Linked DNA regions of Arabidopsis thaliana. The protein of the gene in region 4 interacts with the protein of the main gene of each other region in a pairwise test. Each region holds a gene or a part of one and is shown on either strand. Other genes may lie near its edges. The genes, in order: AT4G15700, TY1, AT5G08650 and AT4G00980.

Region 1 (3,255 bases), 8.5 Mb from region 4:
CAAAGATTTTCCTTATATGGCAGAATCCAATTCCTTACACACTTTGTTATTTTAATGGTTAGAAACGTCATTTTTTATCATGATGTTCAACAATGTTTCTGTAGATAGACAGTGAAGAATTTAATGATTGATTTACCTTAATTCTAAATTTCTTTAATTGATTATAGAGTTGTTCTAAGATCCATATCTCAAATTTACGCAATCTCCTGTATTTTTACACTTGTAAGTTGTAACTAGCTAATTCAGTTGACAATCACGCCTAACATTTATTAACAGTTGCATATCATTGTAAGAATTTCGTTTGAAAAGTTAAGGCTTGACATTACACACGATTCAGACTCGTCATCGCTTTTTAATTTGTGGCAGATACAAATACAATATTCTTAGCCTATAAAATATGCCTTCTTCAAATTTTTAAATTAATTATTATGTCTTGGCGCATGTTCTGCATAAATAGTTATATATTCTTTCTTTTTTCCTTTACACCATAAAAAATCATCTATATTCAGTGCACGTGTATTCATTTCTAGATGCATATATGTATACAAAATTATATAAATATGAATTGGGAAAAAGGAGAAATCCAAATGTTGCTGATTTTTATTATAAAATATAAATATCTCTTAGATGCATGTTTACAAAATAGGTAACCGCATAATCTATCTTTTGAAAACTTAGATAGATAGACATATATAGTAATAAACTCATACATACATTTTTGTATATGTTTTTTTTACCTTTTTTTGTTCACATTAATAAGTTTCTCAGAACCTAAGTCATTTGCAATTCCATTTATTTTGAAGTCAAAGCCATAAAGCTCCAGCGCGCTTAAGCATTGGAACAAGGGAGCGGTTGAGATGGAGACTCATGACTTGATTGGCTCCACCAACAAGCTGCCCTCCTATGAACACCACTGGCACTGTCGGGCTGCACCCGAGCTGAGCCAATGCATGCTCTATCTCCTTTCCTCTGCTAATCTCATCGAGTTCATAGATCGTCGGGTTCACGCCAAGGTCTAAGAAGAGAGTCTTGATTGTGTGAGACATGCAGCAAGAGTTCTTGCTAAAGATCACTACCGACTTCTCGGAGATCATCTTTTGTAGATTCTCCATTAGTAATATAACGTGATAGATATTTGAAAACTGTCTTGCAAAGGAGAAAAATAGGTGTGTTTGGTCAAAATGCTAGATTAGAGATGAATATGGGAAAACTAGATAACTTATAGAGAGATTATTGATATATTTGGGTGAAAATGAGAAGTGACTCTGTGTTTTTGTGTTTGATGGAGTGAAGTGGGTAAGGTCCTTTATATATAGCTTTCTAAAGTACGTAACCTTTCTTATTACGTTGCCTTTTTCTACGAGAATCAACTTTAGCACAAATATGAAATATCTCAAATTGTAAGTAAAGAAATAAAAGAACACAATTTTAAATGATGAAAATTAAGATAGTCGAAGTATTCCGAAAGAATCTGAGGATATTATCGGTTCACACGTCTTGACTCTTTGAGTCTTTTTCCCTCTTGCAGCTAAAGAATAAAACTATCAACTAATTTGGTAAAACGTACAGAAAACAAAATCTCTCTTTGATATATATGAGGAATAATTGATACGGACGAATAATGTCATGTTTCATTAGTACGGCCTTCATTGTGAAAACCACTGATAAAAAGCAGAAATGAGTTTTATCTCTGCTAAACTCGTTTGACTTATAAAATTTCAAAATTCCGAAATATGTTTTTAGTTTCAAATAAAGTTGAAAATTGCTAATAGTGTTTACTCCGGATTTCATTTTGGCTCATTTAGGCTTGTGATAATAATTTTTGGTTTTGAGAATGTTACTTTCAATCTAAATATGTCGTCAGGAATGCGTCAAAAATATCCAACACATTATCGACATATAAATGTCTTGACGCCTATATACGAAAAGATTTCATGTTATCGTGAAGTCGTCGTTAATTGAAATTATCGGATTTCGTGTACTATACTAATATAGTATTCAAAATTAATTGAAATATTTCTTACAGTATTTTTGAGTCTAATAAGAAATTATTAATAATATAGCAATTATTTTTTGTAACGGTTATGTGTACATGATATATGGAAAAATATTTCGATATCTAATATGCTTTCAATCATACTTTATAGTATTTCATAGTGTATGTGTTCTGCTGAAAATCGGGTAAAAATCATTGGATAGCTTGGACATAGTTTTAGATACGCCTTGGACATAGTTTTAGATACGCCAAAAAGAGTTGCAAGCTTCAGTGTTTGAGAAAACTCGAGAGAGTATGAGATAATATCTCAAGAATTGTTTTTTTATAACCACTTGAGAGAAAAAGGCAAACTTTGTGGTTCCGTTTTAGCCTTACCGTCATGCATGAAATCGAATCTTGCAATGTCAAAGAATAAAACAAAATTGAACTTTATTCCCTATTCGATGAATAAGATTGCTAGAAATTCAAGCTCGTGCCCAACAAGATGGATATGATAGTATGATAGTGAAGCAACCACGTATATATATATCCTAAAACCAAAAATATACAAAAAATGTAAAATATTAGTTTTTTTTTTGTTTTTCTCTTCAAAATAGTATTAATGGTGGCCCATTTCGATCTCAAGAGTCACTTATTGTTACATCACAATACAAGGTTATCATCATTTTCAGTGTACGTGATTCATGTACCGACACATACATTATGTAATATGCCAAATCACATCTTATTCTGCAACTTGCCCGTACCGTCCTAGAGCATGGAATATATGTAACAATGCAACGTGTTCCTCTTATGGTAGAATCCAATTCTTTACACACTTTGTTGTTTTAATGGTTAGTAGCGTCATTTTCTACCATGATGTTGAACAATAACGCCCACAACTTTCTTAAATGGATAGAGAAGAATTTAATATTTAGTTTACATCTATTCAAAATTTTCTTTAATTAAAGATAGATTGTTTAAAAAAAAAAAAGATAGACAGATGACACAGATCTGCTTCATTCATATGATCATATCACTAATTTACGAAAGCCGCAGGCCCGCAGCAAAAGTTTTACTTGTAACTAGTTAAATAAGTAAATAACATCAGATCCTAACATTTAAATCCTAAGATAAACTTTTTTTTTCTTGTAACAAACCCTTATTAGTGTAAGAATTTTTCTTTATAAAAAGTTAGATATCTTTCTAAGTCCATTATGTGAAATTACTCGTATGAACCAATTCCCATAATTAAGGCTTTACATTCTATTACCTATTAA
Region 2 (3,749 bases), on a different chromosome or scaffold from region 4:
CGAATCACACCAAAGATTAGGGTGAATCCAACAAGCAGATGCAACAACACATGAATAATGAAATCTCAAAAAGGAAGAAGAAGAGAACAGAGAGGCAAACGAAGCAGACAGAAATCGAAGAAGAGAATTGAAAAAAATGCAGAGCAATTGTGTTTTTAACTTGAGAGGAGACGCGAGACGCAGGTATATAAATTTATTTGTTTGACATTCAAGTTTCCTTTTTTCCTTTTCACTTAGGGTTTGTTATAGTCCAGAGCAAACACAAACCTTAGGTTCGGTGATAATCTAGCCGTTATACACGGTTCGGGTCAAATACTTTCCATTTATTAGCTGATACGCTCCTACTAATTTTTGGTTTAGATACTGATTGTATTTTGATTGTATTACACGTTGACTTTTATTGTTTTAAAGAACAAGGCTAAGAAGAACAGATAATAAGAAAGTGGGTTCTATCCTTAAAAACCAACAAGAACCCTATCTTAAAAACCTAAGGAGTGTGGTTTCATTTATTTCTGGATTGAATCAGTTGAATAATGAAAACAATAATAGACATAAGCAGAGTGGATCCTGCAAAACATGGTAAACGAAACTTTTTTCTTCTCTTCTTTCTTGGTTTATCTTCGATTTCTTCTTCTTTTTTCCCCTCATGATCTCTTGTTCCTTCCTCAACAACCTCTTCTTCCTCTTCTCTCTGTGGCTCTTCTGCTTCTTCGTTTTCTTCCTCAGGTTTTGTCTCTTCTTTGATTTCTTCTTCTGGTTCTGTTTTCTCCTCTGTTTTCTCTTCTACTATCGGCTCTTTCATCTCCTCTTCTTCGTCCTCTTCCTCGATCTTCAGACCGGTAATTCCCTTAACTTTCTTAGGCATTGTAACAGTTAAAGTCCCATCTTCTTCATTAAACCTCGCTTTGATCTTGTCAAGAATTACAATATCTGGAATCCGAAACACTTTTTTGAATTCCTTTATTTCTGTTTCCTTTTTCCATTCCACCCACTTTACCAAAACCATCTCTTCAACCTGTTTTCTTCCGCTGATCTTAATCAGATTCCCTTCTTTGTTTATCTCGATATCGATACCATCCTTCTTAAATCCTGCATTTGGTTTTCAATCTCAATCTCTATGCTAGGTAAGAAAAAAAGGTGAATAAATATGAGAGGGAATAGAACCTTTGAGATGAAGAATGAGGAAGAAAACAGAGTTGGTTTCTCGAGAAAGTGAACGATGACCAAAAGAATCTCTGGCAACCCGAAAATCTGTAGAGGAAGAAACATCGTCTTTAGTCCGAGTGATCTTCAGACCTAATTCAAGCTCCATCTTTTTTAGTTGTGAGCTTCTTTTGATACATCTGTTTTTAGTTTTTGCTAAAGTCTCTCTCTAGTCCACACTTTTCTAGTTTTGTTTAAATTAGGCTATTTCATATCGTTTCTTTGAAGAGGCCCACAAGAACATATTCGTAACTTCCATCTTCAGGAAACTCAAAAACGGAGTCGTGAGTTTTGTCTTTTGTTACCCTCAACGGTTTTAACTGTCCCAGTTGCGTTGGCGGGAAGTAACAGCTATCTTTATAGTACTAGTTGATAATGATAACCCTTTGCGATTGCATTTACAATGAGATCTGTCATGTCATATGATTGAGCCTGAAGATTGTGAGCAAAAAGTTAAATTGAAGAGTGATCGGTGTTTGGGAACGGGCCTATAACATGTGGGCCTAGAACATGTTTGTGGGCCTATAACAAAAAAGATACGGTGTACTTGACCGTAGTGGATCATCATTGTCTTTCTAGTACCTTGTGTCATTTTCTTTCAGAGTTCGTTCTCTCTTTTTGGTCAATTCGAGTTTTTTTTCCACAAGTGTCCAACTTTTTTTGTCATCATCAACCTAACCAACCGCCAACGCCGAATCAAGAGATCGTTTGTTTTTTTCTGATTCTTTCATGGCGTCAATTTCTCTCTCTTCTTCTACGGTTCCGTCGCTGAATTCGAAAGAATCGTCAGGTGTTTCTGCTTTCGCTTCTCGTTCTATCTCGGCCGTCAAATTTCAGTTTCCGGTTCGTCGGGTTCGAACCGGAGACTTAAAGTTTCCATCTTTATCTTCAACGACTCGATGCACTCCTCGACGTGTAATCGCCTTTCTCTGCTTAAACATCTTTTTCCAAAGCTTATATTTTGTTCAATTCTAGCTTACTTAATTTTACCCTATGAATTATTGAATTCAAGCTTCAAACTTTCTTCTGATGGTAGAGCTGATGATAGCTTTCCTATTTTGAAATTTTTCTTATTTTAGTTTCTATAGCTGATTTTCTCTAGAGTTTGGAATTGATTTAAAGTGAGTGCCTTTATCTACTTCTTGATTTAGATTGAACTAAATGACAAACCATTCTTGTTCATACTTCAGATTGAAGCCAAGAAGCAGACATTTGACTCATTTGAGGATCTGCTTGTGAACTCTGATAAACCAGTTCTAGTTGACTATTATGCAACCTGGTGAGTTTGTTTTGGTGTCAAATGATAACATGTGTTAGTTGAGTGGTCATCAACCAGTTCTAGTTGACTATTATTCATCATGAATGAGTATACTTGGTCTATGTTGGGATCCAGTGTAGTCTGTTTGCTTATTATCGAGTTTATTTGTTAAACAGATGATTTGGAATCAGAATGTACTGTTTGTTTGGCAGGTGTGGTCCTTGCCAGTTCATGGTTCCAATACTCAATGAAGTGAGTGAAACCCTGAAAGACAAGATACAGGTGGTGAAGATTGATACCGAAAAATACCCCAGTATTGCTAATAAATACAAGATTGAGGCACTTCCTACTTTCATCCTATTCAAAGATGGGGAACCTTGTGATCGCTTTGTATGATGACTTCAATGCCTTTGAATTTCTTCATTTTCGTTTTAAGGTTCTTAATCTCACTCACAAACGTTTCTTTTTTTGTGATTTCCAGGAGGGTGCTTTGACGGCCAAACAACTCATTCAACGAATTGAGGATTCTCTAAAAGTGAAGCCATAGTTGGATCATGAACTCTTTTTTAATTATTTGTATGTTTTTCAACTGTCCCTGACCTATTCAGGACTTAGTGATAGCGATGTTTTTCGGTTGATTTAACTTGGAGAATTTGAGAAGAAGAAGATTATGTTTGCCAGATTTGTAAAACCTTGTTGTGAGTAATGATGATCTTTTATTCTCAAAAGTAATAACAGAGACGCTATTTTTCAAGCATTCGTCACCAGTTACATAAAGATTAAAATTCTCTTAGCAAAAGAAAACATAGCAGGAGTGTAAAGATGAATACTAAGACTCAAGGGTTAGAAGGAGAAGCAGAAGATCTAACAACGGTAGTCTTGAAATTCACGGAGAGAGGCAGTGTTGAGGAGGCAAGAGCATGGTCTTCACCATTGTTGTCAGAGTCATTGCCATCACAGTAACCTTGGAGCATATCACCTTCTTGAGCAGTAAAACCAAGAACACCAATCATAGTAGGCCAACACTTGCGTCCAATGGTTCTTATAGCACTGCAACACCCAGGGCCAATGTAAGTCTCACCGTTGAGGAAGAACAAGATCAGCTCTCCAGAACAGTGTTGGAGCTGCATCAGTGAGTCCCAGCAGTACCCTGTATCTTCATCAAGCTTGAGCCTGTACACAAGGCTTGTGGTAGGAGAAGACGTCCCCATGGATGGTTTCATGAGAGGGCGAGCTGTCACTGTGGAGGAAGCCACCATGAGCATGAGAGTCACAATGTTGAAGGTAG
Region 3 (7,718 bases), on a different chromosome or scaffold from region 4:
CAGCGCCTCGTGTTTCCATCAATCTACTTATCCAAACTTTTTGGGCAAGTGAAATTGTATCAATGAGATTGCTGAACCAAATTTTTGTATTCAGGTGTAAGAGTGCGTATGTATGCTGTATTCATAAAAGTTCATATTAAAGAGCTTAAGCAAAATAACCTTATCCCTGTGTACGATGGTTGACAAAGGTTCCACCATTTCAGCATTAATCAGAATATCGAGTTTTATCAGATCACTTTCCCTGTACCTGCTCACATATTACAAGACAAAAAAAAAAAGTTGAATACCTTAAGATGGTAAGAAAGACATCAAAAAGAGCAAAAGAAACATATTATGTATTAAGCTTAAATGGAAACTGACGAAGCTGAGTAGTTAACTTGTATAAAGAAGGGCTACCAAATTTAACGATAGAGAGCAACACGATAATTAACCTGATTGAAATTGATCTGATGCTGCTAAGCAAATATATATATTTTAGATACTTGTTTATCACTTTGGGATTACTATGAAAAGAATATAGATTCTTATCTTCACAAAAAAGCTGACGCATTTCTTTGTTAATCAACAAAAATAGAAGGCAAGCATCACAAAGTAAGAGAAAGATCTGTGTATTAAAAGTTGAAAGATCTAACCCAATAACGGAGTATTCCATGCTAGCATATCCCTTGGTTCTCGACTTCAATTGGTCAAAGAAATCACCCACCATCTGCAAAATGGCAGGGAGCGATTAACAAGAAGATCAGTTTACATAATCAAGAGAGACATGGCTAAACTTTCATTGGGGTTATCTTAACTCTGCACAAGCAGAGATCTCACCTCTGCAAGAGGTAACTCATAGAGGATTGAAGCTCTGTTCTCAGCTATATATTTCATTTCTTTGAACTCCCCTCTCCTCTCTTGAGCGAGCTCCATAAGCGCACCAATATAGTCTTTTGGTGTGAGCAGTTCAATCTGTATAAAATGGTTTTGCAGTAAGGAAATGTAATTCTACGAAATGTGGTGTGTGAACTTATCAGCAATATCTCCAGTAGAAAAGGCAACCTTAACGTATGGCTCCTCGACCGATTTCCTTTGCCCAGGATCTGGAAGGCGTGATGGATTTGAGCACAAAGTCTGCAGTAAAATTGATTTCACAGGTAATAAGGCTCTAGATCAAGAAAGAAAGACAAAAGGATGCGATTTTCAGGGAACAAAGAAGAATATTTAAAAGTTTGGGATCAAGAGGAAATTACAGTATCACCATTTACAGAGTTCACCCTATAAACAACACTTGGAGCTGTGGTAATAAGATTTAAGTTGTACTCCCTCTCTAGCCTTTCCTGTGAAGAAGAGTGAACTGGAGCGTAAGAACAAAGAATGATATAATTCACTTTGTTGAGTATAATTTATGGCGGGTATCTATCGGGGAGGAAACTGTAAATAAGTAAAATACTAACAGATAACTCAGTATCTATGAATTTCTTTTCTCTATCTTCTGTTGCATAGGAAATTTTCAGTCAGAGACGCACCAAAAACACTTTAGAACAAGAAGAGCGAAACATATCTGACCTGCACAATTTCCATGTGGAGAAGACCCAAAAACCCGCATCTAAAGCCAAATCCCATGGCACTCGAAGTTTCAGGCTCAAACTGCAGGATAAAAACCAAGTTGAGGACAAACCTATAGATATGTTAATGCTAACGTATACGCTCCTTAGACCAAATGTGAATATTTTTAACAAAGATACATACAATAGAGGACTGAAGACCAGTTCTTTGCAAAACACAATTTTACTTTCCAATTCGAAGCCAACTGGGCATAAACATACATTGGCTAAGTAAGCATACGAAGACCATAGTTGTTTCGTCCGTGCAAATTATTCTGGGTACAGATGAAAGAAAAATGTTGTTTCTGTCATTTAATTCTACTATACCTTCAATGCAGCATCATTGAGTTGCAGTTTTTCCAATGCATCGCGAAGATCGGGAAACCTGCCATCATAGACCAGGTGTGAAAAAAAAAAATACAAAATGAAAAAGCAAAAAGTCAACAATGAAAAACAAAAACTCAGTACTGGTCAGCGTCAACTGGAAAAAGACCACAGAACACCATAGGGGTAGCTTCCTCGTAACCAGGTAAAGAGCTTTCTGCCTTTCTGCTATAATGTGTTATTGTATCTCCTACCCTGGCATCTGCAACAGATCTTACAGAAGCCGCAATATATCCTACCTGTATTTAAGGACAGTAACCTTTAAAATATGTGCAAGAAATGTGGCATGATATTCAGGCATATCTGATATACACCAGCAGCATCAATCAGTGCTAAAAACATCTTTCTAGCTATTAGAACTTGAGCAAGGGAAGATGCAACTAACCATTTCTTCTCAAATATAGCCAAACAAGAAAAGTGAAAACATATTTGTTTCATTGCATTCAAATTGTTATTAACCACAACTCTATCTTCTGCCAAAGCTGCTACAAGGAAATGCTAAGAAAATCCTTCCATTTACAAACGCTTTTAGTTTTCCTATTAACATGTGTTGGAATAGAACGGCGGAAACTGCAAAAGAATACTGACATTTTCATTTCATAATACCAAGGTTTCTGCTGAAAGAAAAAAATTCAACAAGAAAATGGGACATGGATGCACAGGAAAGTAAACAAAACAAACAAAATATTATGTTCAAAAGAGTACACTACCTCACCCGCATATAATTCATCCACTTGAATTTGATTTGGAGATAGAACTCCGACTTCATCCGCAAAATAATCCTGCAATTGATGCAAAACTGAGAACATGAAGGATACTAGTGAAACACAAGTAAGCGTTCTTAAAAGCTTAAACATTCTCAAATTTTTCCTGAAAGAATTATAGAATAACACTTCACATCGCTTTATTCAAATAGACCGCGAAAACCTATCTCATGCACAAATTACATTCAATTCATTATTGGCAAATGGAAAGCTATCTCGATTAAATAGAAAGACAGTACAGTAGAGTAAAAGAGATAAACCTTTCCGCTTGCCATGAAAAAAATTCTGTCGCCTTTCTTCACTTTCCCATCGATAACTCGAAAGTATACAATGACACCACGATATGGATCATAATAACTGCAGCAAAATGAATTTTGGACGAAAAATATAAAGTAGTTCACATATAAAAACTGCACACTTGTAGACTAATCAAGCAAAACAAACACGAGTATTTCACACTCATTTTTAGTTCACCAGTGATTAACTGGTACTGACTTGACATGCCAATGATCAGTCCAATCATTATATACGAATACAACTTCGACTCCAAGACTCAATTTCATACTGTTTTCTCTAGAAAAGGCAAAAATCGTTATGAATAAAAACAACAAGTGCAAACCTGTCAAAAATTAAAGCTCTTAAGGGCTTTCCTGCAGTATCGAGAGGTGCAGGTATCCTTTGAACAATTGCATCCAAAATCTCGGTAATACCAATTCCCTCCTGCGTGTATATATTATTCCCCAAAAATTGTAATTGAATGGATAGAAAGCCACACGTCTTAATTTTTGGGTAGCAGAATAGCAAAACAATTTTAAAATCTAACCTTTGCCGAACAGAATATCGCTTTGCTACAATCTAACCCAATAACCTACAAACAATATGAATTATCAATCAGTGTTCACATAAAGGCTGATGTCTCTGAAATTGCAGCAATGAGACAATTACCCCATTCGAGGAACATGAGACTGGATCATAATATCACAAAGAAAATGTTTAAAGCATAAAAGAATGTACCGCAATAATCAACATAATATCTAATACTAGAAGCTAGAACCTTGTAAAATGTCAAGATAACATATTGACAACAGAAAAATAAAAGACTGAAGAGTTTTTGCAGACACCCAAAAAGGAATACTGTTCAAATTATTACTGGTTGCATTGTATGATTGCTATTGAATACGAACATCATAAAATGGGTAACACAATGAACATAATCACCAACCTCCTCAATCTCCCTGAGAACTTTCTCTGGCTCAGCGCCTGGAAGGTCAATCTTATTTAAAACCTGCAGGAAGAAGTAGAGTTCATTTGCTTTAAACTCTGGTATGCAGACCAAATATTTGAAAGAAGAATAAACCACCTTACATTATTATTTCCTGTATAGTCATGAATCAGGTTGAAGCAATAATGAAACGTTAAATGATATAATCATTTTATCCTAGACTAGCTATTCTTTTCTTTACTACGCATCTTCTATGTACTGCCAGAGTGATACTACCTATTTTTTTTAACATATTTGCCTTGTTTGAAAGTTAACTTATTGCAGACTCCGACTTCTTTTAAATAAAACGACATTGACATTTTTAAATAATCTTCCATGGAGATGAGACGAAGGAAAGAATGATGATAACTACCACATATAGTTGAAATGTGATTTGTTAAAAGGAATGATGATAACTAGCACATATAGCTAATAAGATGAAGCATAATTCCGTACTTACGGGAATAATTTCGAGGTTGTTTTCCAAGGCCAAATACACATTAGCCAATGTTTGTGCTTCCACACCCTAAAGCACATGATAGAGGAAGTTTAAGTTTTTCAGTAATGTAAGTATGTAACCATCAGAAAAGAACGAAATTACCAAGCGAAAAAACGGCATAAACAATACAGATTCCAGGTTTCCACAGCGTGTCAGAAAATTGTATGTCAAGAGAAAGAAAAATCACCTGGGATGCATCCACAACAAGAAGAGCACCCTCGCAAGCAGCAAGAGATCGGGAAACCTATGTACAAATAAACAGTGCATTCTTCATCAAAACTGCAACTTAATAGTTTGTGTATATTCCTAACTGTAAAAAAAATTACGCTTTTAGGTGATATATAACACTCAAACCAAGTAACTTCTCACATATGAAAAATAACTATAAGGCTAAGCTTCAAATGTATCCGTAGACAATAAGTAGATTAGAATATTGTAAGTACCTCGTAAGAGAAATCAACATGACCTGGAGTATCTATCAAGTTGAGGCAAAACGGTGTATCTTCATAAACATAACGCATTCGAGCTGCCTACACAAACATACACCGCAAAGTTACAAATCAGACCGTTGAGCAATCTTATCGAAACTGATTTTTGATTGTGCAGAGAAAGCGATTGAAAGAAAAACCTGAAGCTTGATAGTGATGCCTCGTTCTCTCTCTAAGTCCATGTTATCAAGAAACTGCTCCTTCATATCTCTGTTCTGAACAGTACCAGTCACCTGAAGCAACTTATCCGCTAACGTAGATTTCCCATGATCAATATGAGCTATAATACTAAAATTCCTGATGTTCGAAATTGGAACCTGCGAATTTCATAACAAATTCAGTTTCAAAAAAAATCCAAATTCTTCTCAAGTTTCGGCACACGGATGAAGAGAGAGAACAAAACAGAACCCGACCTTCAAAAGACGGTCTTGACCAGAACGGGCGGCTAATTTGGAGCCAGAGACAGAGAGACCGCTCTGAGGCTCAGTTCCAGCTGTGGCTTGGCAAAGTATCTGTAACTTCCGATTAGAGTGACGGCGGAATCCAGAGACGGAAATGGAGGAGAGACGACGGAGAGATGGGGAAGATGTAGAAGTTCCGGATAAGAAAAACGTTGGAGGAGAAGATAAGTCCATAGCAGAAGCCATGGCCATGGCACTGTCTAAGCTCTCTACACCTCTCTCTACTGTTTTGAGAGAAATTCAAAGTATCCTGAGCCACAGACTATGTAACTGGGCCACTGTATCCAATTGGGCCTGTCCATCGGATTCTAACCCACCCGACCCGATTCGATCCAAATCTGTTTTCTTAAAATAACGAATTTGTTTTGTGTGAATTAAACCGAAATTAGACCACAAATTTAATGAAACTGAACAAGATCAAATAAATTGATTTTAAATCAGATAATTCTAAACCCAAAAATATTCGAAGTAGAACATCAAATGTCAAAAAACATAGAAATAAGCTTTTTGTTCAATATTGTTGTGCTATGATTTGATTCGATGAACCAGAAATCATGCATTTTGAGAATATAAGACTCTTTTTTATTCAATGATGAGTTGATTAGTGTTTAATCATTTCTTATATAAGATCTTCACATGCCTTTTAAGACTAATTTAATCCCTATGAAAAGTCCTAACCTTTTAGCGCAATTTCGGTTTAGAAGTAAGAGGAGTGAGGGATTGAAAGTAAAGATGAGTTTTTTACTTGCACGGAATGTAAAAAGACAGAGCACAAAATGAGTCAATGGCGTGGTAATAAGGGACGATTTGACCAATCCATCACCGCCTGTGACTCTTTTTATTAACATGGAGTGTGAGGAGATTAAAAGAAAAAAGGTTTAGACTTTTCTTCGTTTGTTTCTTTATCAAGCTGGTTGTTTCAATTTGGCTTTAGCTGATGCCAATTTGGTGTGGTCCAATCTCTCTTTTAATTTTTGTTTTTCTGATTTCTTCCTTCGTTCCTAGTTCATACTACTCTCCTTGACTTTCTCCTTTTTAACATCAATTCTCTCGTGTTCGAGGTTCCTTTGTCTCTTTTGTCTTTTCACTGTTGTGTGTCGTGAATCCCAAGCTCTATACCTCCGAAATTGGCTTGGCCCAAGTCTTTTCTGGTCTTTTTCTCTACTGGGTAAGTCTTCTTCTTCGCATTCCTCTCCTCAAAATACGATCTTGCTTAGGTTTTTTGGAGAAAGAAGACTTGCACAGTGTTTGACTTAAAGGCTTTTACTTCGTGAACGGCTTTGGCTTTATGTGAATCTGTTAATTTCCCCCAAGGCGATTACAATGTCTTAAACTATTTCGGACACGATCCTATCTCTGTGTTACTAATTTAGTTTGGAAGATTTGGTCTCCTTGAGTCTCTTGATCTGACTTTTTCCTTTGTTCTAGGTTATTACTCTTCCCCACAGTGGCATGATCTTTTCGATAACTTAGCTTAAAGGTCTTTGGAAAAGAGTTATGGGGAGTTTTTGCTCCAAGAGCCTTGGAATCAATTTTGGCAGCGAGTATTCTGGTTCTAGTGTGGCTGATGATGGTCGAGAACCTGATTTTGGCCACTCACAACCAAATGGGCAAACCAGTTTGATTGTTCCTGGTATGAGGCAGCTTATGGTTAAAGACGTCAAGGAACAAAATCAATTAAAAGATGTTTTCTCTTTCCGCGAAAGGGAAGCTGAAGATAATTTCTATGATGGAATTCCGACGTATACTATGGCTCCATCACAGAAAATTCGGTCTGCAAAATCAACTCAAACCGCTGTTTCAAAGGTTAGTATGGACCAAATGAAGCTCCTTTTTTAGCAACTAAGATTAAGAGTTAAAGCATTGTCTCTTAGTAACGGCAAGTGTCTTTTAAGTTTAGAAGTCCTGAAATGTCGTGAGACCAATCCGAATTTGCTATACTGTGGCAGGTTACAGAGGCAAGTAAGCTTTTAGGCAAAGCGGGGTTAGGTAGAGCAAAAGATGTTTTGGATACCCTTGGAAGTAGCATGACAGATCTTAGTAGCGGTGGATTTACTTCTGGAGTTGCAACTAAAGGCAATGAACTTGGGATCTTAGCTTTTGAAGTAGCAAACACAATTGTCAAAAGCTCAAATCTCATTGAATCCCTTTCTAAGAGGAACATCGAGCATTTAAAAGGAACTATCCTTTATTCTGAGGGTGTTCAAAACCTAGTCTCGAATGATTTCGATGAACTACTCAGACTTGTTGCAGCTGATAAGAGGTGAAAATTTTA
Region 4 (4,169 bases):
GAAACGTTTTCTTTATATATGGATACAAAGCATCAATGGTCACGACCTTACTTGAACTATAGGCTCGTACATCTGTTTTCTTGAGAAAATTTCTCAAGAGACAGGCCCTAAACCCTTGTTGATGAACCGTGACCGTGCGGCTTGAGCGTGATTGACGGCTACGATTGTCCTTGGATGCATCCGGTGCTGTAGAGGATGGTTACTCGGCTCGGTTCTCCCTTGCCGGGGTGGTCGCACGGCGGTCTGACAGGTTTCATTTTTTTTCCTTTTCACCCTGAAACTTTTAATTTCTTCTATTTTTCACCCGCTAATTTTATATTACTCTCCATCTGGTCCTTTTTAAAATTTCGACGTTCAAGTTTAATTTTAGAGGCTGAGAATATCTTCCATAACGCTTGGGACAAAGAAACTCTTAATTTTTGGTTGTGTGTTAAGTATTGTCACCTCAATTGATGTCAGTTTATTTGTTTGTATATCAGTTTTGAGGTTTCTGTTTTTATTTTGGTTCCTCAAAATAGGATTTAAAAAGCAATTTTGACAAAAAAATTATCATTCATAAAAGTATACTTTTACATTAAATCAGGCCAAAACTGATCTATTGGTCATCTCTCTGTTCTTCTTTTATACATTTCAGTGTCATAAATCTAATAGGCCAGACATATGGACAAGCTGAAAAAAGGTCATAAAAGGACTGCTTCTGAATCCTGAATCAACGGTATTCAAAAGACTTACCTCTTTAAGTATATCTGTGAAGAGATATAAACATTTTGGCTTCAGCAATCATCAACTACTACCCCCTATCATTGTTTGTTGTTGCTTGAGTCTCTGATTCCACAGGTGCAGCGACTGAGGAGTTGATCCGGTTTGATTTTCCGGAAGCTCTCTCATCAGATTTACTACCCCAGCAATGCTTTGCGAGATGTCCTTTCCTCCCACAGTTGTCACAGACGATGATGACTCTCTCGTCTCTCTCAGGTTCTTTCCTCTTCCAACCTACGCTCTGAGATCCTCTATGTGTTGTTCCTAGACTCGGTGTCCTTTCCATCTGAGAGGAGCCTGTGGCTGGTCTATATGTAACCCCTTTTGCTCCATTTCTGAGAAGCTCTTCCTCAGCTTTTACTCGTTCCATCAACATCCAGACTGGTAAATACTCCTCTTCCATTAACCTGGTGCAGAAGCCTCTCCAAGACGGGGGAAACTTGGAGATGATGGTACTCACATGAAATGCCTCATCAAGAAACATACCAGCACTCACTATGGAATCCGCAATCTTGTTAAAGACTTGGACTTGCTCGAGTATCGGTCTCTCTTCCACCATTCTGAATTCAATGTACTTTCTGACTTGTGACCTCTTCGATTTGGATTCATCACACTGGTAGACCCATTTTAACTCGTCCCACAATTCTTTGGCATGCTTAAATTTCTGAGAGTATCGACGGTATAGATGATCTGACAAGGAGTTCATCAAGTGAGTATAGCACAGGTAATCATCTCTCAACCATTTTTTCCCCGTAGCATCAGCTCGAGTTATTTCCCTGGGGTTGGTTTCAGGGCCTTGAGAGCTACCAATACTGGGACAAGGTTCAGAGAGTACATAAGTCAGCTTCAATTGCTTCAGAAAGAGTTCCATCTGTGAAGCCCAGTAAAGATAACTCTTTCCATCAAATCGTGAAATCTTGATAACAGAAAAACCGTGAGAGCTGTCCTTATCCACAGCCTCAGAAGTATCTCCATTTCGTGCTGCTTCAGATCTGCATAACGTTTAATAGCAAGATAAGCAGCCTACATTGCTAGCCAGACAGTAATGCCCTATGCCACGATGATTATATGACCATAAAACACTAAAAGCAATGCCAGGGAACATGAATCTTTATAGACTTAAAATAAGGTACACATTCTTACTTTAGTTTTGATTGGCACTGCTTAATACCGTCCTCTATCGCTGCAAAATTCTTCTTGATTACAGACCATTGGTTAGTTGACAAATGTGCTCCTGACAGAGAAGAAACATCTAACAATTGAAATCAACAGGAGCATATCTAAAACAAAAATGGCTACTTATAGCTTCATAGTCAAGACCAAGACACCAAGTTGTGTTTCAAATTACCTCTAAAAGCCTTTCCATGTTCCTGAGAACCAATCGATAGAAAAGGTTGGCCTCTGTATCTTTGAACCGTCGCATTTTGCTTCTCCGATAACTACAGTTAAAGACCAACAATTTCTACAGTGACCACTGAAAAACTCAAAATCGAGATGATCACAATCTCTACTCTATACAGTGAATCAAACATAGAACAAATAGGCAAAGTCGCAACCTTACAAATAAAGCGCTCATCTTCACCACCAACGGAAGCGGCAGCAACAGAAACTGTCTCATTTTTCGCCGGAGCCACCGTCTCCGGTACGAGTGCTTCACCGGGAGTCGATAGCAAAAAGACCTCAAGAACATCTCTGACTAGCTTCTTGTGATTGGTTCCCGATAAGTCGATACCGAGTTTAGCCGAAGCGTCAAGTCGGAGTTTGAACTCCGTCATTTGGTCCATATCAGATTCACTGAGTATGCTCTTCACTGTTTCCTCGATTTTTTGTGTAGCGACAATCTCCATAGTTTCACCAGAATCAAGCAACGAATTCTCCATTTCGCCCGAAAAAGAAGAAAAAAAAGGATAAAGAAAAAGATTTCGCAGTAGCGTCGAGTTTTGGTTGTTGGCCGGCGTTATATTTAGGGTTCATAAATCGCCGGGGGAAAAAATTTGGCCGGAGTGTGAAAAAAAGAGGTTCTACCGAGAATTGAACTCGGGTTACTGGATTCAGAGTCCAATGTCCTAACCGCTAGACCATAGAACCTTTTTGCTATAGCTGTTGCATTTAATACTTTATATATGCAAATATATATATATGAGTTTTTTTTCCTTATCTATATATCTTTTCTGTTTTATAATACGATATATGAATACATGGGTGAGATACGAATACGATTGAGAAATATATGGGTGAAATACAGTTTTTCTTCACGAAGCCGATAAGATACTAAGAGTCGAATCCTTCTAGAAACTAAACCGACAGAAAGCAAATTATTTTTGAAAATTAAGCTCAAACAAAAGAGGCTAAATATAAAGATAGCAAGGTAATAGTCATTAACATTTGTTGTGAATAATCTAGTTTGGGCTAATGTTAATCTTGTTTTACTTGTCTTCTCACTGCATTGCAGCTTAAGAAATTAGTATTGCATGCTGCGAGCTCAGACTCAGCCAGAGGGCTAACCCAACAGATTTTGATGCCTAAAACATCTTTAAGCTCATTTAAAATTCTTAAGCATTTTAAATCTATTTATAATTAAAGTCTCAAAAAAACGAAGGTAAGGTTCGAACTGTCCACGAAAGAGTCACTAATCTATGAAACAATCACTAGACTACGAAACATTTTTAAAATTTGATGCCCTTTAATATTATCTATAATTTTAGGCGCGTAAAGCATGAGTTTCACCAACTTTAGCCCAGGGCCGGCCCTGCTCAGCCATAAGAGAAGCAAAAGATGTAATGCAAAACTCCAATACGCAGTAATGATAACAAAAAAAAGTTTGTTCGTTAAAGCTTATCAATGCTTACAAAACATCAAAACCAACTTGACATGTGATGGCAGTAACAAAATCGAGAAGGCGATGCTAAAAGTAACTTCATAAACTAGATTGATCAAAAGTACTCATAGCTTCGGAATCAACATAAGACACCAAATATGTTCAAGTCACCTTTAAAAGCAAGTTAATAGCCAACAAACAATGTGCATTTCACATTTCGCTTCTCCAATAACTAATGCCTAACAATTTACAGAAAACATCACTTCTTTCCTCGACAATCCATTGTATTATTTTCGTGAAATGTCATCATAGAAGAAGCACTTAAAATGAAAATTGGGTTGGCCCATGAATTTGAATTCTCTAACCCAAGACCAAAACCCATAAAAGTTATTTACGACCATCGAACCACTTTTTTTTTTTTTTTTTTAACGGCAAACATTTTTCTATTAATTAGCCCAAATGGGCTTCATAAACAGGTACAACTTGAGGCCAAAAGCCCACTAATTGCAAACATTAAATAGACAATATGATGACACATGTATGCAATGTGGAGATTGCAGCGTAGATCAACGTTTCAGCACATGCCCCGTCA

The links.
Region 1: the proteins of AT4G00980 (region 4) and AT4G15700 interact in a two-hybrid assay, tested with the Arabidopsis thaliana proteins (one large-scale study listed by BioGRID).
Region 2: the proteins of AT4G00980 (region 4) and TY1 interact in a two-hybrid assay, tested with the Arabidopsis thaliana proteins (one large-scale study listed by BioGRID).
Region 3: the proteins of AT4G00980 (region 4) and AT5G08650 interact in a two-hybrid assay, tested with the Arabidopsis thaliana proteins (one large-scale study listed by BioGRID).

What each region holds. Positions count from the first base shown.
Region 1 is NC_003075.7:8,935,402-8,938,656, reverse strand, and holds AT4G15700 (Thioredoxin superfamily protein), read right to left. Parts: upstream 1,300-3,255; 5' UTR 1,113-1,299; coding exon 804-1,112; 3' UTR 533-803; downstream 1-532.
Region 2 is NC_003070.9:28,811,132-28,814,880, reverse strand, and holds TY1 (thioredoxin Y1), read left to right. Parts: upstream 1-1,716; 5' UTR 1,717-1,932; coding exon 1,933-2,118; exon of another isoform or gene 2,119-2,393; coding exon 2,394-2,482; intron 2,483-2,673; coding exon 2,674-2,851; intron 2,852-2,942; coding exon 2,943-3,008; 3' UTR 3,009-3,196; downstream 3,197-3,749. Other genes in the region: AT1G76770 (HSP20-like chaperones superfamily protein), read right to left, coding at 503-1,089, 1,165-1,312; EC1.1 (egg cell-secreted-like protein (DUF1278)), read right to left, coding at 3,298-3,749. UniProt on the Arabidopsis thaliana protein: Thiol-disulfide oxidoreductase that poorly activates chloroplastic malate dehydrogenase (NADP-MDH) and fructose-1,6-bisphosphatase. Provides reducing equivalents for peroxiredoxin Q.
Region 3 is NC_003076.8:2,807,586-2,815,303, forward strand, and holds the start of AT5G08650 (Small GTP-binding protein), read right to left. Parts: upstream 6,018-7,718; 5' UTR 5,636-6,017; coding exon 5,396-5,635; intron 5,300-5,395; coding exon 5,123-5,299; intron 5,025-5,122; coding exon 4,938-5,024; intron 4,739-4,937; coding exon 4,682-4,738; intron 4,522-4,681; coding exon 4,456-4,521; intron 4,020-4,455; coding exon 3,957-4,019; intron 3,603-3,956; coding exon 3,558-3,602; intron 3,455-3,557; coding exon 3,354-3,454; intron 3,092-3,353; coding exon 2,995-3,091; intron 2,753-2,994; coding exon 2,681-2,752; intron 2,210-2,680; coding exon 2,055-2,209; intron 1,972-2,054; coding exon 1,914-1,971; intron 1,630-1,913; coding exon 1,549-1,629; intron 1,320-1,548; coding exon 1,233-1,319; intron 1,114-1,232; coding exon 1,042-1,113; intron 952-1,041; coding exon 817-951; intron 707-816; coding exon 633-706; intron 248-632; coding exon 160-247; intron 1-159. Other genes in the region: AT5G08660 (D-lactate dehydrogenase (DUF668)), read left to right, coding at 6,941-7,249, 7,393-7,706. UniProt on the Arabidopsis thaliana protein: Promotes chloroplast protein synthesis. May act as a fidelity factor of the translation reaction, by catalyzing a one-codon backward translocation of tRNAs on improperly translocated ribosomes.
Region 4 is NC_003075.7:421,942-426,110, forward strand, and holds AT4G00980 (zinc knuckle (CCHC-type) family protein), read right to left. Parts: upstream 2,648-4,169; 5' UTR 2,640-2,647; coding exon 2,316-2,639; intron 2,199-2,315; coding exon 2,108-2,198; intron 1,994-2,107; coding exon 1,903-1,993; intron 1,752-1,902; coding exon 791-1,751; 3' UTR 537-790; downstream 1-536.